Oreochromis niloticus: one gene and its partner. The protein of the gene in region 1 purifies or fractionates together with the protein of each later gene. This does not show direct contact. Links are inferred from orthologs where the notes say so. Each region holds a gene or a part of one and is shown in the gene's direction. Other genes may lie near its edges.

Region 1 (16,704 bases):
AGTGAGTAAATAAAGTTTCATGTAAATTTTAAGATCTGATGCTAAGGATGACATCCGATATTTCTTGGAGATAGCTTATCACTAACAGTGTGCTTATGAATAAGTGATGATTTATGAGGGTGACTGGACCACTCTGGGCCAAGTTGTTGTTCCAGGTCCTTATCGCTTTGAGATTTTGCATCTGGCAGATTCTTGGCGGGACACATGGGAGTCAAAGTCTTTAAGCAGACGGCTGATGCATTTCTTCTGGCCCGGAGTAAAATCAATCACAGCTTGAGCACGCTGTGTGCACAAACATACTTCTAGACACCCTTTTATAAGTGTGACACTGTAATCCGCTTAATTGAGAGGTTTCCTTAAATCAGCCTGCACATGTTCAGAACAGAACAGAGGTCTACAAACCTCCGTTTACATGATTGTGCAACTCCTGGCACGACCAAGCTATTTCCAGCATCTCTTTTTCCTGCTGTGTGTCTCCTTTTTCTTTTATTCAGCTTTATTAACCTTATTCTTATTAACCTTGTTAGCATAATAAGCTGTCTCGTAGTGCTGATACTGCCTAATCTGTAAGACTACAAGGAATTATGATTGTTTGTTCCACAAATGACGCTCAAGGTACTAGAGACACACCGTGTATCGATAGTGACAGCATTGTAAATTTGAACACTTCTTCATGTTTACCTTTCACACACGTTTCAGTCAGATTAGATCAAGGTCTTTCTTTTAGGGAATTAGTTTATGGCCCTGTTTACAGCTCATCTCTGATGTAAGCATGAAATGATCAGGACAGAACGGATCAGTCACTCATGTTACAGCAATATTGTTCCATGCCAGTATTTTATATTGCAGCACATATTAGTTAGTATAAATACATCCATATGTCAGGCAGTGATAAGGAACCTTATGCATACATGTATGTGCTGATTTTGTAAAGTGTCATCTATGCACTAATGAACTAAAAGCTGTCCTGCTACCCATGCTGTCATTCAGAGATGAGGAAATTGAACTTTTTGAGAAAGTGTGATGCTCACTATTTTTTAATTACAGTCTTTTTATATGCATCTAAATTTAATTTTTGCATTTTGACATTATGAGAAATGAAACACTCGATCCATTTTCATATATAATAGTGTCATAAGTGAAGACAACCACGAGCAAACTGGGCTTTTAAAAGCTCATTTATGGGGCAAAAATATCCAGAGATGTAATCGGCTTTTATGAAAGGAGTAAGGATATGCTTCAGCCTTCAAACAGATGGCCTCACACTTGATATGATGCAGAATTTCTAGCTGAATCAGTGACTGCAAGCTGCCCAGTCCCCGAGGGCAGTAAGCAAACCTCAAACCATAACATTTCCACCACCATGATTCACAGTTGGTATGAGGCTCCTCTTCGGCTGAATACGGAGAGGTAGGAGGTCCCAAAGAAACCGGCAGATGATTGAAATCTTTCTGCATCTGCCACATGCAGATTGAGAAAATACTTTGGCAGAAAATGTTTTCTTTCTTTAAAAGGGAAAGACTTCTTTCAAAGTATTTAGACATCTTGACAGACTCGTGCGTAGCTGCTGCCATTTTTAAGGTGTTAAGAGAGCTCTGTATTTTGGCAGGAAAGCAGCAGACGCTTCACTAAGAATGAGAACGCCACATCTTAGATGTCAGAGACTTGGACAAGACAGCTCCCACCGGTCACTCTCCAAAGGAGGGTCTTATCACTGGCACATAATCTGGAACCCTGTTATTTTATATTATGCATTTGATGCTGTGATAAACGTATGGGTGTATTTAGTTTTTACACATGACTTTTCTTTTGTTTTCCGCAAATTCTAAATGATAAGGTCCATGATTATATGAACTGCCTAACAATACAGCAAATCTCACATATGATCATGTGATGGCCTAAAACAATGGTGGGGCCCACTGTGACCTTAAGTGGGTCATACCAGTCCAACTACATGATAAACCTTTTGTGTAAAATTACAGGAAAAACCCTGTAATAATGAAATGTAAAGTTTTTGTTAGTTCCCAGAAAATGTTTAAACTGTGGACTATAATAGTGGAAAACAGGAACTTTCCTGTCATTTAATTGTTGATCTGTTAGTTAATTAGTATGAACAGTAATTTAATGGTATTTAACAATAGGAAAAGCTTTAAATGGGGTTGTCAAACACGACGCTCGGGGGCAAGAATTTGCTCGGCAAAGCCCACTGGACTTACGCCTTATTCCTTGTTTTAGGCCATCAATGTGGCCCACTGGACGTCTTTGGAAACTTTGGAGGAATTTTGGACATTTAACTGTAATTTCATAAATTTTGCAGCTTGTCCTTCTTATAAAGACCTTCCCCACAGTGATAATACACCAAAGTAGTGAAAACAATTAAATGACAGTAAAGTTCCTATTTTCTGTTAAGTGGGCCATAAAAATGGCCTCCATACAAGAAAGCAATAAGTTCTAATGAAACTGAACTGAAAATGAACTGAAAATGGGGTACACAAGATGCTGAAGACGCAGTTCTGGCCTGCAATCCAAGGCCCACAGCCGGCACAGTCAGAATTGTTAACCTTGTGTTGTTAGAGTGGGTTTCCACATCAAATCCTGGGACTTCAGCTCTCAAGCTCCTCCTCTCAAAGTCTTGAGCAATTTCCTCTCACTGGTGACCTCCCAATTCCAGAGTAGGCTTTTCCTCCTTGAACCCAGCACACCAACAGTTTCCAATCCAGTCTTTTTATCACAACAAATCCACAGGAACCCTGATTAAAATGAGTCCTCCCTTCAGTGTCATCTGATTTTTTTAAAAGCAAAACCTTCCAGGCCAGATTAATACTATTTTCCTTTAAAATATTCACTTCTCTCACTGGAGTCTCCAAATTTAAACCAGCTTCCCTGTTGCAACTGTGCCCTACAGAAAACGAAAACTCCTTCCTGTTTTCTCCTTTATAGATAAGGCCTAAAACCATTACCAATCAACTACCGGTACTCCCTGTACTCAACTCCAAATAGCTGGACTAGAGTAGAAACTCCACTCCTACATAGGTGTGGCCTATAAGCACAAAAACACCAAAGCATGCAATAATTGAAATGGAAAATGATGCCAACCCAATGTTTGGTGGGAGATTCTCTCAATTATTCCATCATGTCACATTCTGCAACGTTTTCACCACTATAGAAACTCCTGGGATTTTTTTGTCAAAGAAAATATAAATAACATAAAATAAATCTTCTGTGACAAAAACTTTCTGCTTTATAATTACAGGATAGTCTGGTCCACTTAAAGTGGGCTGTATAGCCCACTATATAAAATGAGTTTGACATCCCTGATTTAAAGCTTAAAGTCTATGCACTCCTTTACATTTTGTATCCTTCACATTTACTCCCCAGGACCTTATGTTTGACACCCTTGGCCTAAAAATCAATAGCCAACAATAATACATTTTAAATATAACAATCCTACATTATAACTTTTTAAAACAAAAACATATTCATCATGTGAATGAAATGGTAACACTAGATAAACATGAACTTTGCTTTCAAAGCCACAAAGGGAAAATCTATCATGACCTTTATTTATATTCAATTTTCTCCTCTATTGTCTGCTTTTCGTGTCGTTGCTTGTTTGTGTTGGACACCCGATCGCTGCCTGCTCCCTTTGTGTCGTTCGCACCGCCTTGTAAGTCTACTAACCTCCAGTAAACTACATATGAATCGAATGTGCCTTTTTTGGGTGCTGTGCTTTTAAATTCCTGTCTGAACTGTGACACAATCTCCCCTGCAGTATCGCAGCCTCTTACATGAATCAAGCTGAAGTGATCCTTGACACCATCACAGCAACACAGTTCTACAAATCCCCCGAGGCTTTAAATAACCCCAGCAATGAGCAAATGCCACAATGCCTCAGGTAGCTTGCGATGACAAACAACCCTCATCAGTTGCACAGATCACATCTGACATGGAGCTCACCCCGGTGCTCTTCGCTTAAAATGCAACTTAAAGGAGCAGCACACGGTGGGCGGTACATATATAAGATGTGCACATTATTCAGCACTGACAAGTACAATGTTCAGCATTTCAATAAGTCACACATTTATGTTGTAACAGATGGATCACATTGGTGTTGTGATGAGCCCACAGGTAATCATCAGCTGACTCTGCATGCGGTCCCCTCAAGTCTGTCGAGTTTGTTAGTGTCTTCCAGCTAACGGCTTTGTTTTCACTGTTTCGCTTTGTTATCATCAACCTTGGTTTTGGTCTGCTCGGGGACAGCGAAAATAATATTTTAAAAAGGACAAAATGATTTCAACTAGATGTGAAGCAGCCTGATGCTTCATTTGGAAGTCAGTGGAAGCTAATGCAGAGTTAGAAGTTAGAAAAAGGTGAGCTTTTAAATGTAATTGAAACATAAACATGCCTCACGATCAGGTGAGAGACCACACGTTTTTCACAAAAACTTGAATATATTGTTACTGTCCTTCACAGTTATAGTTTTGTTTAAGAGAATCCTTTTTTAACTGATTGATAAAATTTTCTGATCTGTACAGAGTAGGCCTGCAGTCATGTGATGAAGAACGTTTTCTCAGGACAGTGCACGTTTCAGCAGCTTATACAACCATGTTTAGCAGCAGTATGACTTCTTTACACTCTTCTTTGCATCATTGCTTCAATTCATTGAGATTTGCAGGCATTCAGGTATACACGGCTCTCTTAAGGTGCAACCACAGCATTTGAGTGGTTTGACTGGGTCATTGCAGCATCTTGATTCTTCTCTTTTTCAGTCATTCTATTGTAGATAGGTCTGACTGGGATCATTGTCCTATTGCATGACCTAATTTTAGCAAAGATTTAATTCATGGTTGACTCAGTGACTGCAAGCTGCCCAGGTCCTAGACCTGGAAAGCAAACCCAAATCATCACCCCTCCACCACCATGCTTACAGTTGATATGAGGTGTTTGTGCTGATATTTGGTTTTCACCAAACATGGCGCTGTGTATTATGGCCAAGCATCTGCACTCCGGTCTATCCAAAGGACATTGTTCCAGCAGTCTTGTGATTTGTTGCAACTTTGCAAACCTAATCCATGCTGCCACGCTCATTTTAGAGAGAGGAGGCTTTCTCCTGACAACCCTTCCCAACAAGTCATCCTTGTTCAGTAATTGTACTGTCATGAACTTTAACATTTAACATGCTGACTGAGGCCTGTAGAGTGTGAGATGTAACTGTTGTGTATCTCTGAACGTTGCATGGTCTGATCTTGGAGCTAATTAGTTGAATGCTCCAGACCAGCAATCTGACAAAGTGTCTGTTTTTATAGCAGTGCTGACAGTTGGTGAAAATAATTTGATGACATGCAGCATGTCTAAGGCATGCTTAGTTTTTTCCCAGAAGTGCACAAAGTGGGATTGTATAAAGTTATGACCTTCTGCCAAGTTGCAGATTAGCTTAAGCTAACCTAAAGAAAAGCTAAATTAGCTAAATCACTACCCTGGATCTCTAAACACTGCCAAACGCCTCTGGTGATTGAGCTGATATAAAAAATTCACTGTATATAAGACACATAGCCCATGTGACGTCACCAATTTGTTAGCCACATCAGTCGTGAAGCCTCAAGCTAAGAGCAGTTTAGCTAAACCCAATGTAGCGTAACATATAATATTTGTATAAGTCTTCTAATCTTTGGTATTTCCCTTACTTAATTCACCTAATTTATCTGTCTCCAAGCCACAGCCATAATGGAAAGTCTGCCAGGTAACAAATAAGGCAACGCTAAAAATAAAACTCATTTCAATTTTGATTCAAGCTACTTATAGAATTGCTCTTCATATCATGCGGCAACCTAATTTTAAAACAGAGGGGACAAATAGACTGAGAGGGCAAAGAGAAATAAATAGACAAGTGAGGAGCCCGAGATTGGGGTCTATTAAATCACAGCTGCATTAGCAGCGGGCATTAGTCCCTCTGACCCTCTTCGTCTAATTCATATAAATGTTCTGCATGTCCTCTCTGCTTTCTCAAGCCACATATGTATTCTGCTCAGCTCGTGTCTGTGTGCAGCATGCACAGTCTTTCTTGCCGCCTGGCTTTCGCCTCCCTGTTCCTTGTTGCTGGCGAAGGATTCCTAATTTACACTAATATTGTCACTGCAAATAAAATGGTAGATGTCACACCTCAAAATAGCCCTCCTCCCAATGGCAAGAGGTGAAAACTGAATTCAGAGGCAGCATAATATGATAGCGGGGGGACAGCAAGTTGTTATTGATCCACTCAAGCATTTGTTCAATACGAGTCTGCTGACACATGGCAGATATGACCATCTGCCCACTCGGGGTTCTTGGCCACAGCTACATCGCCTCTTTGCAAGATTCGGAGAGGATGCCAGTCATCGTGTGTTACTGTATGAGGCTGAAATGTTTAAAAGCATCATGCATCACCGATTGTGTGATTGTGCTGTGTCCAGCATGATGCAATCAAATCATATCATACACATGCAAAACCAGAGACATAAAGACTTTTTTTTACTTCTTAGATTTTCCATTAGCAGTAAAGGCAAACTGTAATATGGCACGCAGGCTGTGCTTCTCCTTTGAGAGCATGTGTCAGAGGACAGTCCAGTTGAGTTATCTGGTGCTATCAAGCCTCTGCTTGCTGTCTTGTATAATGTTCTCCACAGGGAAATGCCCAGCTTCTGCCAAGTGTGGGCCATGTGTGAAAAAGCAATGATCCACCCACTGTCTGTCACTGCAAGAAGCTATAAGCTATAAGGCTGCTGCCCTGCATTTTACGATGTCTGAGTGAACAGTGCAGAAAACTGAGTGACTTGTACTCCCTGTTTTCTTCTTTTTTATCGAGAGTGAGTGAAATCCTTCCACCCACAGTAGCAAACACAGTTGGGAGGCTTAAATATTTCACCATTATTAGTTTTCTCTAACTACCCCAGTGAGGCAGGGAAATCTCTCTGCCTTTTCCAGAGCTGGCTCGGACCTCAGAGACAGACAAACCCGAGGAAGGTCGAGCCACTGCTTTAGCTGACTTCAGCTGCTAATATGGTCACCAGTTAATTTCACTATTTTCCCATTCTGTGTTAATTCTAATCATTCCTCAGTAATGTGTTGTTGTTTTTTTCTTTGTATCCAAATAAGCCCACTACAGTGTCCAAATGTGATTTCTCACCACATGATTCATAACGACAACAAAATACTGATACAGATCTGTCCAAATCTCATGGCGGTGTAAATGACCCTGCGCTGTTCATCATTCTGGGAGAGCCGTGCATCACGGAGCAGCCGCCGCCCCAAGACAGTTGGCCGGCTTCACCAAACAACACACTGAAAAGTTTTGTCTTGCAGGATTGTGGTGTGGAGGAAAATTGATTGCTCGCTTCAAACAGCCAAGTAACCCTGGGAAAATTGCACCTGCCACCTCTGTCAGTTTATAACCACCCTTTCGAGCAAAACACAATTCACCTGGCACCGCTCTTGCTCCTTTATAAGCCGTCTAATTTTACAGTCTTGCCATGCATTCTTCGTGCTCTTACGACAGGTTTTAGCTGATACAAACTTTGCAGCCGTGGTTCTCATAGTACGGGCAACTGGCCACCAGAGGTCCTCACTAAAATCTGATGTGCCCTCAAGGCTGACAAGGAAAGATTGCCCTGTTGTGGATTTCATTCACCTGCAGTTAGTGTGGTACAATGAAGCAGGGCAAACTAAACCTTCCTAACAAATACATCTTGCGTCTAGACGTATGATTTAGTCATAATGGATTACAAACACCATCGAGATGTTTTTATATGATGTATTTTTCCTGTGGAGCACTCAAGTGTATGTTGGATTCCTAAATAAGCCCTCAGTTATCAGAACTTTAAAGCCATTCCTAAAGATCCCCACTGTTATGCATTCAAGTCACGTGTGAAAGAAATATTCACTTTTTTTTTATTTTTATGTTTTTCTGCCACATTTTACAACTCACATCTCCTGCGCCAGACTGAAGATGGCAGTTAGTTGGCATGGAAACCGTTTTAGATGGGGCGCAGGTAGAATGAATGGCACCACTGGAGCTCCACTGTCCCAAACTAATCAGCTGTATTGTCTGTTGGTCTGCCAGCTCCTTCTCTTATCAGATAAAGTATAAGGGGGCCGCGCTGTGGAGCGTACCTGGTACTTTAACTTTAACTTTTTCCTTTTTTGTCCATCAGCCTGCTGAGATGCATTTCCTTGTTAGGGTCCATTGTGTCCATAAGACATGCTGTACCTGTCCTTACTGCAAAACAGCCTGGATGTTCAGTAACAGCAGCATAAAATGCCTTCTTCGAGGATTATTTTGATGAAGATTAATAATAGTTGCGGGATTTGCGTAACAGGGTTGCTAATAAAAGCTCAAGGTCATGGACTGGGCCAGTTTATGTCTTTATAACTGAGTGTTTGTGGTATACACCCACAGTTAATTCTGTAAATGCTGCCCACTTTGTTTTCATTATGTTGTCATTTCTCTTCCTCTTCCTATGTGCGTCGTCTGCACAGTTTAGCTTAGTTTTTTCCTGATGTGAGGAGATGCTGCTGTGCTGGTATAATGGAATGCCGTACTTTCTGTAATACCGCACTTACTATACAAAAACGCAGGCTTTTGGATATTTCACATCACAAACTCTTTTATTACTTAGTGTCCACCTGTGATTATGTAAATCTAATCAGCAAGACATGTGAAAATTATTAAGCAAATGCCTCTTTGAAGTGATATGTGTGATCTGCTTGACACCTGATGTTAGGAGTTAAAATGAAACAAAGACTTAGTGTTGCCGTACATTATCAGCCTGAAGTCAGAGGACAAATAAGAGGCAATATTGGTTTTGTAAAAACTTTATTGCCTGGTGACATATTTTTATTGTGTGTGTGTGTGTGTGGTGGTGGTGGTGGGGGGGGGGGGGGGGGGGGGGGGGGGGGGGGTTACAGTGATGTCACACCACAGTATTGGAGATCAGAGTACCTCTAATGAAATGATTTGCTTATATAGCCAATTAGCTGATTGTTGTAAAATAAATAAATAAATAAATATGAAAATGTCTCCTCTCAGTTTTTTTTTAAATCAATTTGGTCCAATCACTTCTGCAAAGCCTAAAGGCACAAGAGAAATAAATGGAAATCTGACAACAACTAACTGATTAATTGAGTGCTCGAGTCTTTCAGGTCTGGCGGTTGAAGAATGACCCTGACAGAAATACAGTAGTGTATAGGTGGTGCGTATGCTTGCTGTTCAGACAAAGGCAGCAGGCTCTAATATAGACAGGACTGTGGGAGGGCACTTCTTCACCCAGATGGAAAATATATATGCAAACAAAAATTCATTTGGTGTTTATAAAGGGCATTTCTACACCCGGGACAGAAACCCCTCGGAGAAGCCCCACTCTCAATTTTCCCCATGCACCGTGCCGCTGTGTACAGTGTATTGGACAGAAAAATACATCAAGTGATGGATTATTCCAGCAGTGTATTTTTCCTTCCTTTTTTTTGCAGGTGGAAAAATAACTGCTCTGAGTGTCGGGGAATGATGTATGCAAAGTGAAATGTCAGCAGAAGATGAATGAAACTGTAAAGCCCAAGAAACATGGAAGCCACAATAAATTAAAAACAAAAAAAGCATCATGACTTGCTCCCTTGGAAAATCTATCTGGTAGCTCATGCTTCTAAAACTGTGGGAAATCAATCTGGGATGAAGGAGAGCAAAAATACTGGAGGCTTAAAAAAAGAAGAGATATGGCTTGAAGAGCTTTATATTATCTTTTTGCATTGTGTAGCCATAGCCTAACCACTGCTTTTTAATTGGTCAGTCTATGTAAGAGTTCCCAAAACACAATAAAGTAAATTGTACACAATTTGCCCTGAGCTGCTGTAGATGTGTAACATTTTTGCCTTTTTTTTAACACCCTTACCAAAATAAACACAAAAGTGGGACAAAGTAGTAAATATGCTAAGCCCCTGGTGCAGGTGTGACAGGTAGAAGCTTCAAAGGTGTTTGAGAAGGAAGCAGCGCCATCTTGTGTCAGAAAATATCACAGCATGTATTTGTCTTTAAAGGTAGTGTTAAAGAAACATTTTATTCATATCATTTTCATTTCTTTTTTAAACGACTAGATTTAATATAATGCAGATACATTCAGAAAAAAATAATATTACTGATCATTTTTAGAATAAAGTCGAAATTTCGAGAAAAAAGTCGAAATGCGGCTGCTGTATACCCTCTACAAAATGCCTTGTTGTAGATGAGTTAGTGAAAAAAAAACTCATCAGCTGTCGTGTGATACAACATACATCCTCTTGTTACACGAAGGTGTGACCATTGATCGCATCTGTCCATTACCAGCCATTTCATTTTGTACAATTCATTCTTCTAGGCTTGTGTGTGCGTATGTCTGACCAGATGCAACTTTCTGCACCATCTTTTCAACTGTAATCTCCACATTTCGACTTTTTTTCTCTAAATAGATTTTCGACTATAATCTTGACATTTCGGCTTTATTCTCAAAATTGTGTTTTGTTTTGTTTTTTTTCTTAATGTGGCCCATCGTAAAAAATGGTCATGTCCACACACTGAACACTGCTTAGTACCGTTTTAAAAGCTGAAGCTCTAGCTTTATTTCTCGGCAATGTGAAAGATTTCTCTGATTGGTTCGATTTCAGAAATGGGTGGGACATAGCACAGCAATGACCAATGGAAGTTGATCTAACGCCAAAATACCAAAAAGTAAACAGACTTTGTTTTTATGTATCAGGTGCAACTCAGTTCGCCGAAGTGAAGGTGTTCCTGAGGCCGTGTAGTACTAGACACCCGTCTGGTTTTGAACAATACGAGGACTCTTCTCTGTACAGTCGCTTTGGTTGTGTTTTACATCCTGCTGTTACAGAGTGCGTTGCACTAGCTGGCGCGCTAAGTAGCCTCTAGCTTGTTTTGGCTGCTGTCTTTTATACGAAAGTAACATTAGCTAACAGCTCTGCCGCGGAGTGACAGCTAGCCGAAGGTAGGGAGATTTGTTTGTAATTTATATGCTTTCTAACAGTTCTTTGGTTTCATGTGTGGCATTTATCGGGCATTTAATGTGGTATAATTCTGTAATTTCACACTGACTGTGCAGTGCCATTTGCAAGCGAGCATTGTCACCCACACCGCCTGTTTAGCTTCTAGCTACATTTTTCTTCCTGTTTGCACCACATGTCGCTGTGCTGTTTGATTCCACTTTAGAAATAAAGTGAAGACAGCTTTGCGTGATGTATGTATCAGGCAGACAAACGCGATGAAGCCCGAGCGCCGCTGTGCTTTCATGGCTGAGGATGGAGCTCTGAGTCCAGTAGGGGGACGCGCCGGGTCATCGGGCCGCCTGCGCCGACAGTCCTACAGAAGTTCAGAGCATTTCTGCAGCCTGCTGGACGGCCTACTGTCTCTCAGACACAGTGGCACCTTGTTTGATGTTGTGCTGGTTGTGGAAGGTCGCCAAATACAAGCCCACCGTATAATACTGGCAGCCTCCTGTGATTATTTCAGGTAAAACTCACAGGAGTTATTTTTTCTTTTGCTTTGACTTCACTTTGCTGTTTTCTCTCTGTGCACACGACAGTACTGTATGCAATCTTTTGTGCCTGTGTCCACAGAGATCCAAAATTTTCATACAAGAGCATTCATATGCACGCCATTGACCGTCAAAATAGTCAGCCACCTCCAGGCTACTGAATGAATAAGTTGTTTCCTATAACACACACCACAACATATGCTAATGTGTTTACTAGCAAATCTGACCAGTTACTGTGGCACCCTCATGTCACAAGACAAAGCCTAGGCATCTTGCACAGTCCAGTTGAAACCAAATGTATCCTCAAGCTCAGCAACATTGTCATATGATCACTAGTGGTTTGCATATTTTCGGTTCTGCACCAGTCACATGATTTCTTGAACCTCAGTGCTTTGCCCTCAGAGGCCTTGAACTGCACCTGTGGTTTAGTCTTTCCCTGCATACTGTAGACACATCAAAACTTCTGTGCAGGTGATTTAACTGTTAAAAAAATTAAAGAGTTCCTTCTTAGTTATATAACTCTGGTTTGTTTTTATTATCGTCTAAAGCCTAAAACTTGAAAACATTTAGTGGTAATAAAACCAGGGTCACTTGTTCCTTTAAGTCCACTAGCTTACAAGGTCAGCATAGAGCTATTGTGCCTGGAATACAAATGTCACCACCAAATAATTTCAAGTGTGTTACTGTGAGCATAGTTACTGCACCTAACTTGTTGGTATTTGTTCCTGGCTATCTGTTCGTCATATCACAGTCAGTGTCTGAGCATAACTCACAGTGTTCTTATTCACTTGAGTTACTCCGTAACAGCCTGGAAATGTTAACAACAATGGAAACATTGCGGATGTCTGTGTGAAGCAGAGATAAAAAGATGGACTCGTCAACCCATCCTTCTATTCATTTTATTAACTGCTTATCCAATTCTGGAGCTGGAGCCTGTCCCAAATGTCATAGGGTGACAGGCAGGGTACGCCCTGGGTCGATGCCAGTCCGTCACAGGACTCCCACAAAGAGAAATAAACAACTAAACGTACATTCACACCTGGAGCTGGTTTAGATTAAATAGTTAATCTAACATGCATGTCCTTGGATTGTGGGAAGAAACCACAAATTCACATGGAGAACATACAGACCAAGCCAGCTGGCAGGTTCAAAGCAGGAACCTTCTTGCTGTGAAGAGACAGCGATGATTTGACTCACTCGCACTCGTTGTAGGGCAGCTGGTTCAGCCGATTGCAAAATTGCGCCTGATTTTAACAACACAATCAGGCCCAATGTTGCATCTGTGTTTTAATCTCTCCAAATGTTCCATCAGCTAGTTAAACCAGTCAGGTGAGATAGCTACAGTTTGTTTTAGGTCTGTGTTGAATTTTACTTTTACTTGCGATTTCTTTCCTACATTATGTCTCAAACTAAAACTGTAAGAGACACATTTTAGAGGTTTCACTGAAAACCTCAGCCTGCAGTTTGCATAAGCCAAGAGTCAATGCAACATTTTTGTCCTGAATGCTTGTTTGTAGTCAGTGCAGGACTGCAGAATATTTTCAGGGTAATGCATCGAGTCAGTAAACTCTCAGGCTCTGCTCTTGACAGGTAGCCCTCTAACCCCCTTACAGATAATGATTTTCCATTAAGCATTGTCATATTAAATTTCATTTCACTGGTAACCATGACCTAAAAACTGCGGATATAGAATAATCAGTTATATTAAAAACAATTTGCTGGCTTATCCTAAAATAAGGCTTTTTCTCCCTCTGCCGGCACAATTTTTGGTTTTTCTCCCATACATTTGAATTCAACGTTCTTTGAGTTGCTACGTCTCTCCCTTTTGATAGGGTGTGAGTCTTATCATTACTGGGCGACCAGGATGACCCAGCATAATACTTTATTACCCTTCTCCACTAGGGGGATGTTTGCAGGAGGCCTCCGGGAAACACAGCAAAAGGAGATTGCAATTCATGGAGTGTCCTACATGGCCATGAAGAAAATACTTGACTACATCTACACGTCAGAGATCGACTTAGACCCAGAGTGCGTGCAGGAAGTCCTGATAGCTGCCACACTTGTACAAGTAGGTTGTTGTTCCTACTTCTTTCTTATTTTGTTTTTTTTTTTAATTTTTTCAGCTAACCTGTGCAGCTTTTGTGTTTTCCAGCTCGAGAATGTCATAGGCTTCTGCTGTGATTTCCTTTTCTCTTGGATGGACGAGAACAACATTTTAGAGCTGTATCACCTGGCCGATCTCTACGCACTGCAACAGCTGAAGGCCAAGGTGCACTGCTTCATGCTCAGCAACATTCAGACGTTGTCCCGAACAGATGTGTACCGACAGCTGCCCCAGGATGAAGTGTTCAGGGCGCTGAGCAGCGACGAGCTCCAGGTGAACAGCGAGAATGAGGTGTACGAGGCAGCGCTTCACTATCATTACAGTCCCGAGCAGGTGGAAACTGACCAGGTGTATTTGCAGGTCAGTCCAAAGGTGTGTCTGCATTTATACCCATCTATCTAAATAAAGCACACATCTTAATTACACTCTATTAAAGTGTTGCATTTATGTTTCTGTCTCCCTCACCTAAAGGACAATCTCAAGATGCTCGACGCAGTGCGGTTTTGCCTGATTGAAAAGCACATGCTGCAGAGATTGCACAACAGACTGAAGCAGTGTCCACTGAAGGATTCTGTTTCAGCTGCACTGCGCTACCACGAACAGGAGCTCCTGCAGCCTGTCCTCCAGACTCCTCTCACCCAGCCGCGGTCCACTTTCCACTGCATACTGGGCTTCGGGGGAATGTTTAGTTCCAGCTCCCTCGCATACACCGATCACCTGTTTCAGGTGTTTCACCCAAGCTGGGGGGAGTGGAGGAGTCTCACTGCAGCTCACACTCCCCGGATGTCCAACCAGGGTATCGCCGTGCTCAACAACTTTGTTTATCTTATTGGCGGGGACATGAACACCAGTGGATTTCATGCAGAGACCCGCTGCTGGAGGTGAGAGCCTATCATACACCCTTTATGGTTCATTTTTGTGGTTAAGTTAGAGCTGCAGCTGATTAATCTCCTTAATCAGTTTATTACTGTTGAGTTTTTAAATTAAAAATACAGGAAGCAATCTTACAGGAGGCTCTGGACTTTCATTTGCATGATTTGATCCTCGAGACGATAAAAGGAGAGGAAGGAAGGAGTTTGAGGATCTTTGCCAGCAGATGGAGTTTGCCTAGTTGTCATGGAAATGTAGATTTTCCAAGTTACAGTTATTCATTATCTTAAAGAACTTTTTCTCCTTGTTTGTTTTTTAAATGATGTTCACAGTTTATATTTTGGCAACATCTGTTTAGGTACATCCACACCTCCAGCATTCACAATACTGTGGTGATTTGGGAGCTTTGAAAGTTGACCCAGCTGACCCAGCTGCAGAAATATCAGGGTGGGAGTTTTCTTCTGGACAAGCAGAAAATGACTTGTCGTAAAAACCACATTAGCTTGAAAAGCAGGTTCACACACCTTTTGTGATTTCATCCTTTTTTGCTCGACATCCTCCCATGTTTGATGCTCTCGGCTTGTCTCCATTATGTTGCCGCATGACTGCCTCATACTCAGGTGTTATTTTCAGTGACGCTTTCACATCATTGTGAGCCCGAGCAAAGAACTCTGGTCTTTCAGAGATGTTCTTTAAGTAAGAGAACCTGCTCTTCCTGTTTACCGGTCTGAGTGGTTAATATGATGTGCTTACACTGCTGTTCTGGTGAGGGAGATTATCTTTAGTAGTAGTTTGCCACAACAGCGACCAACATTAAACCCCACAAAGGGCTCAAGCATTAATTAGATGCAAATGGGGATACAGGTTTGATTCAAATAAATAAAGCCGAATATTCGTAATTTCTGAGCTTTAACACCAGTTGACAGGGCTGGTGGGAGGTGGAGAAGTGAAGTGGGGGGAAGAAAGTTGACTTCATGCTGAGACTTTGCACACAAACATCCACAACTAAAAATTATTTACTAATGTTGCCAGTGCCTTTTTATATGAATATTGGCAAATGAAGGAGTGAACTGAGTACAGGTTAGAGTAAAGGGGGATTGGCTCTTTGCTTTAAGATGGAAAAAAAACAACAAGACAAATTCCTATCTGCTGATGAGGATTGTGTGATTTATAAAAAGAGCTGCACAGAAGAGCTGCTAAATCCTTAAAGATTTTTAAAACAATATCAATAGAAACTAACGGTTCTGTTTTGTTTTAATAGAGTTTCCTCTTTGCTTCCAGATCAGCTCATCTTTCATATAAGTTTTTTCTTCACTGTTCTGAGACTCGTCTGCTCTTTCCAGATATGACCCCCGTCACAACAAGTGGCACACCATCCAGCCTCTGCAGCAGCAGCATGCCGACCACTGTGTTTGTGTGGTGGGCGGCCATATTTATGCCATCGGAGGGCGAGACTACAACCACGAGCTGGAGTCGGTGGAGCGTTATGACCCACACAAAGACACATGGGAATTTGTGTCTCCTCTAAAGAGAGAGGTATGGGAACCTGAAGGTGTGAAAGATTGAAAATGAAGAGTGCATATGATTCTTCTACTGTCCACATGATGGCGCTGCTTACTCACATTTGTGCTGAGACCTACATCCAGTGTAATACTAGTCTACCTTTTCAGGTGTATGCCCATGCTGGAGCAGTGGTGGATGGAAAAATTTATATAACGTGTGGGCGCCGAGGCGTGGCGTACCTCAGAGAGACTTGCTGTTTTGACCCAGCAGCCAATCGCTGGACAGGGTGCGCAGAGGGCCCGGTGGAGCGGGCGTGGCACGGCATGGCAGCCGTTAACGGCCGCATGTACGTTATCGGAGGAAGTAATGACGAGCGCGGATACAGGAGGGATGTCCTGAAGGTATGGTCATGAGTGATCGCAGCTGTTTATCGTTGGCTCTCTGCTTCTCATGCAGTTTAAAGTATTGCCTCTTTTTTAGCCTGCTCACCTGTTTTTTTTTCCTCCTATAACATGAATTTAAATTTGAAAATATTCCACGGCCTTTTCGAGACCGACATTATTTTGCATACTAATACAGGCCAGAAGCTTTGACTTCTCAAGCTAATTAAATTAATTTCTGTGCGAGCCAGAGCGGCATCTTTTGATGCTCTTCCTGCAGCACTTGTATGAAATAAAG
Region 2 (16,411 bases), on another chromosome or scaffold:
CATTTCACAAACCTATTATACCTTTTAGAGATTTTCCAGTCTTTTACACCTTTTCCTTGTAATTGTGGAGCATGTTGTTTCCAGTGCCACTGCAAGATGAGTTGAGTGGTGCCTGAGTGGTTGACAGCACCAGCCATAGTGAGTTATTTGCATTGTTTTTTATTTTCATTCACCCTTTCAATGACCATTCACGGCCTACGTAGACAGTACAATTCCAAGAAAATTACCTCTCCATCAAGACATAAATTCTTCAATCACTTCAAATTGCTTTGTATTTGTTGGCATTTTCATTGAGTTTCAGTGTAGCCGGCATGTGCCAGGAAACTTTCCCTGTTTTTAAAATTATTAAAATAACAGAAGAACCAGGCGTTCGCTCAGCCTTGTAAAATGAGGCATACTGTGAGAGGAATCTTAAGCAAAAAACACAGAGAATAGCCTGTGTGCAGCACCTATTTGTCATGTAATGGCTGTGTGGCAGACCCAACTGTAGTTCTCAAGGGACAGAACATGAAATTAATTGTGGCTTTATTGACGTCTCTCACAAAAAATATAAAAATCTCAAACAGTAACTGGGCAAGAACAAGGAATCTAAATACCAGGATGTTTTTAGGGAAACTTGGAAAAGTGGAATGCACAAACACATGGGACACGGCAACAATGAACAGAGGGAAACAGAGACAGGACAGAGTGGCTGGAAACTACAGACATAAGGAGGGAGGGGAAGTAAACAAAACACAAGACACAGAACTACAGTTACCAAAATAAAACAGGAAGCCACAACCGAACGGGTAATCACGACATGGGGGAGTGACGCACAAGGACCAGGGAGCATAGAAAGACAAAGGATGAACACAGATGAGACTGGGACACAAAGGAACTCAAAAGGGAACTAACTAGAAGCAACCTTACATCAAAAGCAACTAAAACTAACAAGAAGTGTAAAGTTAAGTAATGGTTAACAGACTGAGCCTTGCGAAATAACATAAAGGCAAATGTAATGTCTGTAACCATGGAACAAATGAGAGAAGCCCATTAACCACAGGTCCAAACAGACTGACTGGTCGAGGTCATCATAACAAACAAGCACTTTCAGTTATAGAATTCAATCACAATTTCCAGTGGGCCAGCTTTTAGATATATAACAAATGCACTACAGTATGAATGCATATTTTCAACATATAGGTGGTGATAGTGTTCCAATCCTTTAACAAAACACAAAGACAAACTGCTCAGCAATCAGAAATACATCAGCAAAGTCAGTCAGTAACAACAGTGATATAATCCAAAGTGGTATACTTATCCTTCTCTCCTCTCTTCTTCCTGTTTTTATAGCCACTTTTCTTTTTTTACTTTGCCTTGCCTTGCACAATGTATACTGTAGACACCTGCAGAAAAACAAATTGTTGCATAGTTGCAACAATTTGCAACAATTTGCAACTATGTAAAAATGGATAACAGGTTCAACTGCATTTCTCATAAATGACAGAAAGCAAGGTCAGGATGTTCTAGAAATACACTTCTAAGCATCGCCATCAAAACACCTCAGAAAAATCATCTGTTTTTAATCAATAAAGTGGAAAATGATTGAGTACATAGTTGCAAATAAAACTTAGTTCATAAAGAAAATGTGTACTGTATAAATAAAGTTAGGCTTTGGTTCGCAGGTAGAACCATGACTTAAACATATAGTAGAATGGTTATAATCCACCTTTCACTAAATATAGTGCACATGTGGTCCATACAATGAGGAGGTACCCACTGAGTTATTTCAACTGGGCTTTGGAGCTATCATCCTGGCTGCCATGTTGGAAGTTACACTTTTGGCATACTTTTAAGGAAAATTACAGTCTTAGAGACTATTATAGTCTTTACAGTATGTATGCATTTACTTTTACTAAACTAAAGCAGTGCTTTTGTTTATTCACATTTGTTTGTGGGAGCCTGGACGCTTTAATAAATGTACATGCTACACAGGTAAATACAGGTAAAATCTAATTAAATAAGTTTTGCAAAGTGTGAAACTTTTCCAGTTTTTCAAGAAAATATATTTTTCTTAATGACATGAGTGGTTCCAGCCTTTCTACACAGGTCGGGGGATGTCAAGTTAAGTATTTTTAGATTTTAGGTTTGAATAAAGATGGAAAAATGCCACATTTATCTGGGGTTTTTTCCCTTTCCATTGTGATGGTTAAAATGTAACATAAACCCAACAACAGTATACTAATTATAAGCTCTTTTTTTATTTTACATTGATTTTTTTTCTAAATTTATCCTTATTAAGGATGGAGAATAATTTAAAAAGAAGTGCTACTACTTCACAGTTGTTTTCAGCTTCCGCAAGACTGCCTTCTTGCATTACACGCTATTTGACACCAGGTGGCGCCACAGCACAAAGTTGTGTTGTAATGTCCAGCAGTCGTCGCTAGAACTGCAGCTTTTTTTTTTTTTGTTGCCAAAATCAATCCCAGAATCCTCACGCACCGGCGGTGTATTCATTTGAATGGTAAAACTGTGAAACGCTTGCGATCGTGCACAGAGGGAGTTGCTTTAGTGTTTAACTAGTTTTTCACGTTTTGGATTCTACACATCTGAGGAGCGATCGTAACACCTCACAAAATGAATCGGTTGGTATTCAACTCGGGGGCGTACATGATAAAAGTGACAACTTTACCTCTAACGAAGGCATACGTTCACAAGGCTAACCAGCTAGCTAGCTCGCACTAGCGGCCCAGCTTGTTGCTCTTTACGTCTCCCGTGTTGTCTTGTGAGTTGAGCTAAATGCTAACAGTTAAAGCTAACCTAGACATTACAGTGAGATTGTGGACATTATTTTAATGGGAGGCGTCACGAAATGCAACTTTACACCTCTTTTGTCATCGTTTATTTTCACACTTGCAAAGAAGGAAACTTACAGCCCTAACTTTTACAGCATACAATGTTTTTGCGACTTTCAGCCATATGAGCTAACGGGAGCTAACGCCTTTGCAACTAAAATTGAGCATTTTGGTTTAGTTTATCTTGTTTCACTGAGCTAATTTGAGTCAAACTGCTTCATCTGGGAACGTATGCTCTTGACATTTAGCTGGCCTATTCATAGTCGTGCCACAACATAGTCCTGGCATTTGGCTCCTTAACCTCGACTTATACCTCTCAATTATTTTCCAATTTGTTTCTCCAGCAGTGTTCCTTATTATGGCAGCTGGTAAGCATGTTTGGCAACGGGAAGTCCTGAAGGTCAACCACAAAAACTCCAATGGCTTTCTGCGACCCAGCGTGCCTAGTTCTGCTGAGAAGAATATGAAGCAGGTATAAGGATATAATGGGAAATACCATGAATAATTGTGTAAACAGCTGCCCATGTGTCTTTTAAATCCTGGTGACTGTGAAGTACAGTTCAGTGGCATTGTAGCAGGAGTGGCCTCATCCCCTATCCTTTTGTTTTAGGTGGATATTATTAATAAGGAAGAATTAGATAAAGACAGGTGAGTCTCTGATCCACATCTGAGGGGGTTCATCAAATTATGATCACTCACTGCCTGTGTCCCACAGATCATCCTTGCATCCGCACTAATATGTTTTTGTTTTTAAGCTGTTTTAATATGAAAGTAAAATCTCCTTTTGTACTAAACCCTCTGTAAACACATTGCCTTAACCACTCATCCACACTGGGTCTGTGTGCTGGTGTAATTACGAAGCAGTAGGTTAGTTGTTTTTTGAAAATATATTGAAGAAGGAAAAGCAAAAGCAAATAGTAAGACCAGAGATTTTTTTTTTTTTTTTTTTTTTTGTTTGCTTGGATCAATGATAATAGGGAGCTGTCGCAAAGCAAATACAGCAACATATTAGAGGGCTACTGGGAGCTGTCACTGTATGACGCCATGGAAAAGATACACATGAAAAGCACGAAATCATAGAACGTATGTGAGAGTGACTGTGATATTTTGGCTTTATAATTATGACTGATAAGAGCCCACAAAGAAGCAAACATAGGTGTCTGGGAAATGATGTTGACTGGAGGGGCAGAAACAAAGTCTGGATGTTTAGGGGTCTTAAAATTAACAAATGTCAACACAAAAAACATATTAGTGTGGATGTACAACCAGTCACTGAACCATTAAAGCACCTTTCATTTACCATTAACCATTATCATGGTGGCTTTAATTTGTATTTATGTTTTTTTTTAACCTGTGACCGCTTTGCATCTGGCCAATCTCAACTTCTCCATTTGGCAGATTTCAGGTGCATTACAGAGTACACAGTCCAGGAAAAGTGAAGCGGGCGACATCTTGCAAAAGAAAGAGTTGTGCATTGGCGGAGGTGGGCGTAAAGCTGCACCGCAGATCATCAGATGTAGGCCGTTTATGTGACCCCGGCATGGCCAACAAGGAAAATGAGCTGACCTGCTCCGATGATGTCCGGGCCTGTGGATTTCCGGTGAACTCTGCAGAGGCCTCCAAGATGGCGGGGGCCAGCTCCAAGTACAGTGATTTTACTGAGGTGAGAAACAGAGCTCGAGCACCTCATTGTTTTTATTTCGTATGAAATATGAAGGCTTGTTGATTGAAAACTGCAACACTGAAAACACTGAGTTCCAATTTTTTCATTGTTTGTCTATACATAGCTCTCAAAGGACCATGAAGCTATGACCCAGGTTCTTTTTGGAAGAAGTCTAAGACTTAAAGTAGCCCTAACACTATGGCGAAAAAGTGCTAGTGAATTAGTGGCCTACCTAATAAGGTAAAACACTTGTGGCTACTGTTGGTTGATGGTTGTGTTTATTCTGTGATTACACACAATTTGTCATCTTCACCTCACATGTTTGTGGTTTCCCAGAATTCAAGACACAGGTGTGCTGCTTGACTGCTTACCTGTCTTAACAAACAAGTAAGTAATGTTATTTTTTGTTTGGTTATATACATTTTAGCTTTTGAGTGTTTCAGCTTTGCCTCCAGTGACCGTGCTGCACATTCATCCAGTCAGCTGTTAATATACAAAGATTGTACAATTTTTAAAGCAGGAAATAGTCATGTTTTAGTAACAATCCTGAAATCGCAGTATACAAGCATGCATAGCATGATACCTATATGGAGCTGTTGAAGCATACTGGCAAAGTGAAAACTGTAATGTTTCAAAATTGTTCAGGTGAACTGCAAATCGGTTTATAGTGGTTCGTTTTTTGGATGTGATTTAGTTACTAACAGGGCTATGGTAAAGATTGGCTACACTGCTATCTTACTGTCAGCTGGTAACACCACGTTTTGAAAAGATGTTTTCTGATGTTAATATAAATTTAGGCCATCAAAACAATCTTAACCTGCAAACCAGATTAACCAGAAACGTTTAAGTTACATAGCTTATTGGAATATAAAATATCCACTTTTTTCCTACTTTTAAGTTGAAAAATAGAATAAATAGGGTCGATGATTTACTGGGATATAAATCAAACTACTTAAAACCAAACATCACTGCAGCTCTGACATCTTGTTAGATTTTTCTGTTGTTCTGCAGTGGACATGTTGGCCATTTTTCTTATTTTTCTTCTTCATGCCTGATTGCTGACGATCACCTCATTTGAACTTGTTTTATCTCCACTCTCATCAGCCTTCAAACAGAAGCACCATGTTTGTCACTTGGCTGCTGTGTTGACCTCATGCCCCAAGTCAAAACAATCCTTACCAGTAAATATGAAGAGTAAGTTGCAATTCCATCTAATAATAGCTATCTTTTTTTTTTTCTTCTTGATCATTATATGAAGGTGTGCTGAGTTTAAAGCAGTTAGATTTGTTGTTTATAAACCTAAAGATGATTGTGTGCTCCTCTAGGAAGTTTAAGCTTGTCTGATAAATAGATAATGAACAGAGGAGAGCGCAGCTAAAGCCTCTTGAAGGAGTCGAGAAATTCTTTTGACTTGTAAATCTCATATGTAATAACATTTTGAATTCAACTAACTGTTCTTTTTCTGACAGACACATAACTGTGGGTTTACACTGGGTTCAATCCGTCATCAGGAAATGGTGGCCAGAACTTTCTAGAACTGAAAAAAGACTGCAGGACAGTTGTGCAGAAGACAGGTGAGCCCTGTATGCTTTAATAAACCTAATGCAACCTCCAGAGTTTAAATGTAGATGTTTAAAATCTTAGTATTTTTCTAGTTTAACTGTCTGGTGAGTAATTCAAAATAAATCTTGGAAAGTTGGATCAATTTAAAGAAAAGAAATAATGCATGGGGATAAAACAAACAGATATTTCATTTTTAAGATGCATATTTGAAATCCAGTAAATGTTTTTAGTTATTCACTTTTGTGTTGTTCTTATGAATATAATCTGCTGAACTCAGGCATGCTAGTTGGCCGTGTTGTCACAGGAAACATCCTGTTGCTTGCTTTCATTTTTTAAACATTCGTCATCCAGGCAGGTACGCCCTTATGTTGGATCATAGGCAGTTCAAAAACAAAAAGATGATGTTATCCTTAAACATTTCCACCAAGACTGTGCCAAGACTGTATCTCTTTTGCACTTTCCATGTATTGGATCAGTAATTAAATCAGATTAGATTAGATTAAACTTTATTGTCATTTTACAAGTTGCAGTTCAAGGCACCAAATGCAGTTAACCTCTAAACAGAAACCAGATAGACAATATGCACAGGACATGAATATAATACCAATATACGTATAATGCGAATATACAGAATGTGAGAAATAAAAATAATTACAGTGATGTGATGAATGAATAATACTATAGCTAATTAAGGTTATTTATCATTGTCAGTAATCACCATCAGTAATGTTTGTGTGTTTATTGTAGGAACATGGAAGTCATGAAGCAGCGGCTAAAGGACTTGTGGAAGGAAGGAACCCGATTATGTTTGGTTCCAGGAACTACGGGAGAGCTGGCAAAGGTGAGAAACATTACAACTGTTCCATCCCTCATAAGGGATTTTTTTTTTTTTTTTTTTTTTTCACCGTGATATAGGATATAGGTCAGAGTGAAGACCGCTACTGTTGTAGTATGGATCATTTATACTAAAGCAAACCATTTGAATTCTTGTTAAAAGTAAATGATAATGATATAATAGAGCTGCATTAACATTTTTAGAAATGAGTGTTTTGTCACACTGATATTTCTGTTGCAGAACTGTTGTCAGGCTCCACAGGTGCTCCTGCTGTTCTTTCACCCTCTGTTGATCTTGGGTGGATTCAGCAACCACTCCCATACTAAAAAGAAAAGACAGATCCACCATAAGCTTTTGTGGTTGATCTTTTTTCAGTCTTCACATCCTGTTTTGTGGTGGGATGAGAAAAAAAATAAAACCACAAAAGATTTGTTTTATTAAATCTTTTAAAAGGAAATGCATTCACTAATTTTTACATGTTTGTAGCAGCTGAAATGTCAAATTAGCATCAATTTAGTTTGAAGTGTTGAGTGATCCAGTTTATGTGCATTTACTAGCTCTGACGACTTCTCATGTGCTATCTCTGCTTTGTGTTGCAGGGCATCGAGGCTTATCTGTTGCAGCTGCCCTGACAGTTGTCAATGTAGCACTCTCGGGATGTGACCACTACCGTCAATTATGGCTGTGTTTCAGACTGATAATGGTGCAAGAGAAATGGACCAGTTGCTTTTGCTACTTCAAACTCAAACCTCTTACCTGGGACTGAACTTGACAATTCAAACACTTCCCTCAAGTTTGAGCTGGAAACTCTGAAGGGAGGGCCAAGAGAGCCTTCCTGGACAGCAAATGACTGCTTCACATTGAAGTGGATTGTCTTTTTTTGAGGGGCATGTTTAGTGGACCTCCATGAGACTGGGTGTAATTTCGCTCTATGAAGTGCCAAGGTCTTTGTCTCTCACTACACCACTCTCTTTCATGGAATGCAGATGCACTTGTGGATGTTGTTGATGTTTTGCATCTTGAGTTCTCCGGATGAAGGAACTTGAATCTGCAACAGTCTTAAGTTATTAGAGCTTGTTTTTCTTGTTTTTTTTTCGTTCTGCTTCTTCCTTTGACATTTGACTGTGTAATGTAAAATGTAAAAACAAGTGATTCTTTTAATCATCTTTTAAATAAATTAAAAATGCAAAGTTTTTGTTTGTTTTTTGTCTCCAGATTATCAAATGGTACTGGGATGATGTCCTGTTAAACTGCAGCAGAAATAATCCCACAGTTTTTTGTTTTTTTTAACTGGCTAAAGCTCATTAAAATTTTGAAAATACCGTTTCGGAATAATTCATGCCAAAGTAACAATAAAGGTAAAATTATCTTGCTCACTAAATTGAAGTGGCTAAACAGGTTTTTAAACATGCTCCTGCAGCGTTAATTTGACCTCGTGTTCTTTTTTTTTTCTTTTGTAAGAGTCTTTATTAAAAATGGCTTGGTTTTCAAAACTGCATTGCTAAACGGAAAAAGGAATTATTTTATAATACTAGTTTTGGGCTTTTTCAAAATTATAAAATGTATTGGCGTGGGAAACCAATGAAAATACTTACTCTGCTTTCTAGTTCAATTTAAAATTTCAATGAGTTTTATTTTGAGTTTTAAGAATAAAAGGGAATCTTTGTGCAAAAAACGAGCGAGTGGCGTTTCTGGTTTGTACAATAAAGTTTTTTGAAGTGACGTCATTTTCCACAGAGACAGCTGATGCAGCGAGGCTTCCGCTCCTTCGCTAAACAGCTCTCGACTACATGTTGATGCAGAAACGGTGAAAAACGATTTTAGTTTATTAAAGACGAGGCACTATGTGGCACAGGGAAAGAATACCGCTGCTACTGGCTTTCGTCCAGTCTGTGCTCGTAGTAGGGTGGTGTTTTACTGAAATGGAAGCGGGGCCTGGCGCAGCTATGTCGACGCAGACTAACGGAGATCGGTTCAAAATCGAGGGAAGAGCGATAGTTCCCGGAGTGAAAACACAAGACTGGGTCTCCACGGCTAGAGTGCTGGTAGATGGTGAAGAACATGTGGGATTTTTGAGGTAAGAAATATCCATAGTTATACCGGATAACTAGCTAGCATGGTACGTGCTACAATATGTGCTAATGCTACGTAGCATTAGCACCTAGCCATTGCTAGCTGGTGGTTAGGGTCAAACTCGAAGTCAAACCCAATAACGACTGCATCTGCCGCAGGCAGATGGCAGGTACCAAATGTTGTAGATCATGTACAGCTTAACATTTCCTTTTGTAACTCTTGTCCGAGTGCCAGTCAATTAGCGTTTCATTTCAACATGAGGCCTTTTTGGTCCTGCTACAGCGGTAACCACAACACAAAACGTCCACAAGAGACTTGTGTATATATTATCTATTATATTTCCCCAGCTAGCATATGTTTATGAGAAAACACCAGTACTAGCACTGGTTTGCTGCACAAACATGTGTTGAAGGCATAACATATTATTAAGCATGTTCCATAGTATTTGTTTGTCATGTGTGTCGTAATGTACAAATAAAAGTAATATATCATGTTATTTAACCCTGCTATCTTTAACCATGTCACCATATCATCCGTAATAAAATAATCATTCATGTTCTTCTTAGCTCACAAGGGTTTACTCTATTGTCCTGGCAGTAGTTTTAATTATTGTATTACTAGTGCAGTAGTAGTTTTTTTAACCTAAGATACGAATATAAATGATGGCTACTACATAAATTTATCTGTGATAAAAGTATAAATTCAAGGATACTGGATGGAGCAAACTTAAAAAGACATTCTCAGGTTCTTGTTTCTACAAATGCATTATTATTAGAAGAAGAAGTAGTAGCATTAGTACTGTTGTTGTTTTATGTGTCTCACTGTTAGTTCCACCCCTACTGGCTCTATTAGTATATCAAATTATGTACATAGATTGTGGCCAAAGGAATGATTTTGATGAAGACAAATTTGGTTTACTGTTTTGTTTTGTTTTTCACATACATTAAAGATAGAGAAGTAGTCACTTATAACTATACAACTATAACAAAAACGTATTTAAAAAAATAAGTCTCTGATTATTCATAGAGTTATCACTATATTTTCATTTTTAATAGGTTATTTGCACCACGGAATGTAACAATGCACTTTTTCATAGCTTAGTTTATTTGAAAAATTAAACAAAAAATAAAACATTTACATTATGTAGTAGGTAAACACAGACAAAAAATAAAACATTTACATTATGTAGTAGGTAAACACAGACAAAAAATAAAACAATGTATAATTAATAGATTGTATATAAGAAACTCATCATTTACACTTGAAAAGAAGCATTAATTAACTTGCTGATGGCACACATACATGTAGTTATATATAACTATGCATTTATATGTATACTAACAGACATACTCCATAATCTTTATGCCAGCTTTTGTAAACTATTTATGTATATACTCTCACACATGCAAGTATATTTACATATATACATACATGTAAATATCTTCATACACATAAATGCAATTTTGAATTGACATTTATATACCACATGAGCCACTAAACATTGTTGTACGGCACAGATAAAAGCACAAAAAGCTTTCACTGTTGTCCATACTGTTTAAAGATAAAACTTTATCTTCACATTATAGCCCTGGTTCCCTACCAGAAAACATTTTCTCTATATTTCTCAGTAACAGGGACCCTAACCCTTATTCAATTCTTCATGTAGTCCTTGTGCAGTTTAATATTTTACAAGGTCCAGAAATTTTAACATGTTTTAGTATTTCTTTCTTTCTTTTTATATCTCTACCATAATGCAGTGTGTTTCATATTTCAAGTTAATAAGCATAATACTTGAATTCTTAGATACTTATAAACCTAATTAGGTGACCTTATGGATGTCCCGCTTTCAGATATTTAATTGAAAATTATTTTTATGGACTTATTGACTGGCAAGACCTTTAACATTTTTGCCACATTTGTTTATTTATTTGTCTTAACCATTTGTATTTCTGCTTTAGTAAGATAGTTTGACAATACTTTGCTATTTAGTTCATTCTCCATTTATTTCAGGATTAATATTTTTAGGTTGAACTAATATAGGTGTACTTTTTTAAATTATAAGCAGCTGCTGTCTTGAAAAATTTGCTTTATGTTTTTGTTACAGAACCGATGGGAGTTTTGCTGTGAACGATGTCCCCTCTGGGTCTTATGTTGTTGAAGTTGTTACTCCCACCTATAGATTTGACCCTGTCCGTGTTGATATCACATCCAAGGGTAAAATGAGGTATGGCCACTAGAGTGAAAAACCCAAAACATGCATTGTTCATGGTGTGTGAGCACACTTTGAAAATTAGTGGTTGGCCTATGGCAACTCTGACCCACTGAAACAATGTGTGATTTCACAGAGCACGACTTGTGAATTACATCAAAACTTCAGAGGTAATTCGCCAGCCGTACCCTCTTCAGATCAGGAGTAGTGGACCTCACAGCTACTTTATGAAGCGAGAAACCTGGGGCTGGACAGACTTCCTTATGAACCCAATGGTAAGAAAATACATTGAATAAATGGGAATTGCATGTGTATGTCACAAAAGAAACATTTCCTAGGATCCCACCATTATCCTAATACTCTGATTAAATATATGCTTTCTACCATTTGTAGAGTCCATTGGCTGTAGCCCCATTTAGAGAACTACTGATGTTAATGAATTTTGATAAGCTGGTACACAATACTGACGATAATGAACAGAAGTTTCATGAGCATAAAGTAATATTTCCATTCCTTAAAGTGTGCTTTTTTGCTCATTTCTACTGCATATTTTTATACTCATGAACTCTTGAGCAGCTTTCCATCAATCAGAGTTGAAAATAAACCTGATTTATCTTGGGTAGTGAAGGCCATCCACTGTCTGACACAAGCTTTTTTTTTTTTTTTTTAGCTCCTTTCCTTTTTAAGGTTGCATTTTCCTTATGCTAGCCTTCTTTTTCCTGATTGGATGGCCCACAAACTCAAAAAGAGAATGTTGGGCATCTGTGCTGAAAAAAGGAACTGTAAAAACAAGTTGTCAAAGAGGAATTCTTGAATGAATTTGTTACATGTCATTTCATGTCCTTGTTGCTCCTGCAGGTTATGATGATGGTTCTGCCCCTGCTTATCATTGTTTTGCTACCCAAAGTGGTCAACACCAATGACCCAGAGATGAGAAAGGTATGTTCATTGTGCTGTCTCTCTGAGCTAAATGGAAGCTGTTCTGGTCGCTTTATTAAGGATAGCACTTTCTCTGAAAGAACAGACTTTGTGATGTTTAAAATCCTAACTCTATCCTTGTCTCCTTTTGAAGTGCTTATTGTGCTAAAGTGTTAACTGTGACAGATATGACTGCTTGTGATACATTTTTAACATCAGAGAGAACATTGAGTCTGTACGCAGCCTTTCTCTCTCCATAAACAGCTGTTCATTCTCTGCCTCCCTTTCTTTACAGGAAATGGAACAGTCCATGAACATGCTGAACCCCAACCCTGAGCTTCCTGATGTCTCTGAGCTCATGACCAAGCTCTTCTCTGGCTCCAAAGGCTCCAGCAAGGCAGGCAGCAGCAGCAAAGGCACCAGGCCAGCTGCCAAGAGGAGGTAGTACTCTACATGCCTCCTAAAAATCTGCCTAAAACGAAAAGAGCTTGATTTATATCATGGAAGCAAGGTTTTAAAGTGTCATTTTTTTTCTCTCTCTCTCCCTCTCTCTGGGTTTATTGTACAGATTTCGTTAATATTAGATGTTTTGAGCACATCTGGATTTCTAATATGCTATTACAAACTGAGCAAAAAGGTTTTTTTCTTAGTTTTTTTTTTTTTTCCCCCCATATTGCACTGATAACATTTGTTGCGAAAGCTGTTATTCTTAATTTGCGCGATACTTTCTACAGGTGACCCTACTACTCATCAGTCTTTTCTGTGCTAAAACCTCCATTGTATATTTTCCACTGCTGCTACTTCCACTACCTGAAAGAGAGCATATATACACAATTCAGAGATTTTCTTGTTTAAATAACTTCAGTAATACGACTGTGAATGAAGAGAAATTGAATTTTAAGACAGATAAATTCTTATTTAAAAACCTAGATAAATAAATTGCCATGGTATATGACAGCTGTGTTTTTATTTCACACCATTCATTTGTTTGAGTGAACACGTGACTTTCTCATTTTATGAATTATTGTGGTGAACTGTATGGTTAGAATTCACACGCTGTACATTATGTGCCTGAGGTGTAAAAGTTAAAATGATAATCACTGGAAGTACAAAGAGAGAAATGTATGGTTGCTTTTTAAAAGCTCTACAAAGTGTAACTGGTTTTACTTTGTAATAAAATAGACATTAAAGTCCATAGTTAAAATCATTATTGTAGAATGTGTTAGCACAGGCTGACAGGACGTGTTTTAAAGTGAAACAATAATGAGTAATGTTATTAAATATAGAGACTGACAAAATAAGCTCAGCTCAAGGTTGAGTCACTGGCTTTCTCCTGAACTTTGAGCCATATATGTTCATCATCAGCATTTATCTATTTGTTGAGGAGATAGTCCTTTTGGCACAAAAGCTCCGTTGTTGCTATGGTTTTGATTTTGGCTTCAAAGTTACCCAGAAGTAAGAAAGAGTGGGTTTTTGTTTTGTTTGCATCATATGCATCTATACAAGATTATATTTACTGTATATTCCCGCTGTTTCACCGATCAGTGCTTGGCAGTGGTAACGCAAAAAGATGAATCACCTTGTCTTCCCTTTTTCAGGGGAAAACATTCTGGCCCATCAAGGTAGGAGAAGCATGTGGGTCAATACAAGCAAAAAAAAAAACAAGTTTGCTGGCTGAGTTGAATTCCAATTAACTGCTTAAGCTTTTGAGTCTTAGTGTTATGCACGAGGGCCCGCTGGGCACAATCACTGTCAATAATAACCACAGGGCTCGAAAAATGCTTTAAAGTCAGATCAGATGTTTATGATGCACAGAATGTGTTTTGGTGAGAAGTAGTGAATATAAATATAATCTAAAAGTTATCTCTCAAGCACAGAGTAGACAAAACATGTCGTGAATTAGGTCAACTTGCATGCAGTTGCATCTTTTTCCAGTCATGCCCCGTCCACAGGTAAATGGTGATGGTGTGACACAATTTAAAATGAGTAGTTTTCATCAAATTGCCTTTTTCCAAGGTTAAGAATGAGTTGCTGTGTGAAGAATGCGCATGGCAGTGTCCTGTAGATTACTCATGCTAAATGAGTTAAGTGAAAGCATCAAAATAAAAGAACGCTTGTTGTTTTCCCTAATACTTTTCAAAGTTTCGATCATGACTGTGGCTCTTAGTCCAAAGCAATTTAGTGCTTATTTTGACTCTAAATGTTTTATTTAAAAGCTAGAGCTAAACTGCTAAAAACTCATTTTTACCAAATGTGTGGAAATATTAACTGAAGACTATTTTCAGCTGCATTTTGGTGTTTTAGGGTTTCATGGTTGCATTGTGTATTTGAGATTAAAGAGAAACTACAGTACCAGAGTTCATTCAGCACATCTACAAGCCTATTTCTGCCACTGGAGGGGAAAGGAAAAAAAATGCCACCCATAATTTAAAATTTGGGGTTATCTCAAAATTTTAACTAAAGTTTAATATTTTTTTCTGAATTCTGACTTATTTATTTTGAAATCCTGAGATACCGAACTCAAAATCTTTAAACAATGATCTAATATTTTGACTTGTGGTGGGCAAAAAATGTTGTGGTGTTTTTTTCCAGTGGTGGAAACAAGCTTCCATAAACACAAAGGTGAGTTCTCCAGTGAAATAGTTTTTAGTGTTTCAGTGACGCCACAGGTCAACTGAGCTTTATCAGACTTTGAAAACGCCAATTACTGTTAATGAGATCAGTTAATTAATGGCTTTGTTCTTTTCATGTGGTGTTGCATTAGAGCAAAGAAACTTTCAATGCAGAACAACTGTGCTGACCTGGACTCTTGGGACCAGTAAAATCTTCGGTGACGTCTGGGATTTGTTTAGAGTCATGTCGTTGGTACATGGCACATTCGGGTAGTCAATCAACCATTGGAGGACGGTAACGATTTGCCTCACCTCTCAAAGAAGAATTATTGACAAATGAGATAGTCTTCAACTTGTGTGTTGGTCATTAAATGTTTGCCTTGAAGTTTGTATTTTACTGTGTATATTATTACACAAAGACACTTACAGAAGTGCAGACAGACAGTAAGCACAAGCTCCTTCACAAAGGAATTTTTGCCACTATGAGCAGAACAAAAGGCACAGAGTTCAGATCAGAAAGATACATTTAACATTACATCATAATAGACAAAAAAAGTGAAATAATTTACAACATCACTCATCTTTTTACAGCAAAAAGAAGACAAGAGGTGTCCATAACAATCTTAATCTCATATTACTAGTGTTAAACTAATGCAACTGTAAATGCACATAAATGTACCGATTAGCCCTTATACACATGATCAAATATCAACAAGATAGAAAACAGGAAAAGACATTCACTGAACAATAATACACTGTAAACAATTTACATTCACCATTTGTGAAGTGTAAAATCTGACACAATCTGTGAAATATGTTATTCCTGTTACAGCTTTGTTTTGAAATATGTGAGCTTATGCTATGTCATTTATATACAGAGTAACAGAATAAAGGAGAATTATGAATTATATGAGGTTGAAAGGATAGGATCAGAGATTTTGACTCCAGGATATTTCACTAAAAAAGATTGTTAGAACCCCTGTAATCAGGCTTGAGACAGGCTTGCCATTGAAGGTGGGGTGGTGGTTGTTACTTGGGCCACTGGTTTGGAAAGAATACTATTTTATTATCATGTTTGATTTTTAATTTTTATTTGGTTTTATTTGGTTTCTTAACCAGTGAACCAGTTGAATTTTATTTTATTTATTTTGCAGGTGTCCCCTTGCAGAAGTTACAGTTCATGTGTAAATTATAAACACAGCTTATTTATTATCTTGTAAATTAGCTATATTGAAAATGATTGTAATCCTGGTGAGGTTGGCAGAACTAAGCGCTGTACTCTCTGTTTACTATATAAACATGTAATAAGCAGGTCACAGGGGATCACAATATAGATGCAAATGGAAAACAGGTCAGAAGTCCAGTACTAGAAGCTGCTATGTAAACAGATGATAAAGGGCAATATAGCTGGGTTTGGAATTATAATGTCTTCAAATGAGGCTGTGAACAATTTAAAAGTCCTTAGCCTAAAATTATTTTCAGTATGGTGTTTAACAGTGTAACTGAATACCTGGCATCACTTTTTAGAAATTCCTTAAAAATGTAAAGTAAACGCAAGTTTCGCAGTTAAATGAGCAACTCGATATTGGGGGAACTACAGACATCAGACTTTTATAGTGTTTAATGGTCTCAAAGGATGAAAATACATATAAAAAATAAATATTGACCAAATTTTTTTTTTCATTCTTACATTGTCAGAAAAAA

Evidence for each region.
Region 2: the proteins of klhl22 (region 1) and emc7b purify together in Homo sapiens (co-immunoprecipitation; 3 studies listed by BioGRID and IntAct, counting the BioPlex papers as one, with this or other methods). This does not show direct contact. The link is inferred for Oreochromis niloticus from reciprocal best matches to the Homo sapiens genes KLHL22 and EMC7.

Annotation. Positions count from the first base shown.
Region 1 is NC_031977.2:10,201,408-10,218,111, reverse strand, and holds the start of klhl22 (kelch-like protein 22), read left to right. Parts: upstream 1-10,712; 5' UTR 10,713-11,003; intron 11,004-11,224; 5' UTR 11,225-11,276; coding exon 11,277-11,524; intron 11,525-13,451; coding exon 13,452-13,617; intron 13,618-13,701; coding exon 13,702-14,025; intron 14,026-14,124; coding exon 14,125-14,534; intron 14,535-15,866; coding exon 15,867-16,059; intron 16,060-16,193; coding exon 16,194-16,427; intron 16,428-16,704. UniProt on the Homo sapiens protein: Substrate-specific adapter of a BCR (BTB-CUL3-RBX1) E3 ubiquitin ligase complex required for chromosome alignment and localization of PLK1 at kinetochores.
Region 2 is NC_031980.2:16,341,820-16,358,230, forward strand, and holds emc7b (endoplasmic reticulum membrane protein complex subunit 7), read left to right. Parts: upstream 1-8,739; coding exon 8,740-8,972; intron 8,973-11,072; coding exon 11,073-11,192; intron 11,193-11,313; coding exon 11,314-11,452; intron 11,453-12,035; coding exon 12,036-12,116; intron 12,117-12,390; coding exon 12,391-12,540; 3' UTR 12,541-13,303; downstream 13,304-16,411. Other genes in the region: katnbl1 (KATNB1-like protein 1), read left to right, coding at 3,193-3,306, 3,445-3,482, 4,233-4,497, 4,622-4,737, 4,834-4,884, 5,602-5,691, 5,967-6,071, 6,808-6,901 and 1 more. UniProt on the Homo sapiens protein: Part of the endoplasmic reticulum membrane protein complex (EMC) that enables the energy-independent insertion into endoplasmic reticulum membranes of newly synthesized membrane proteins.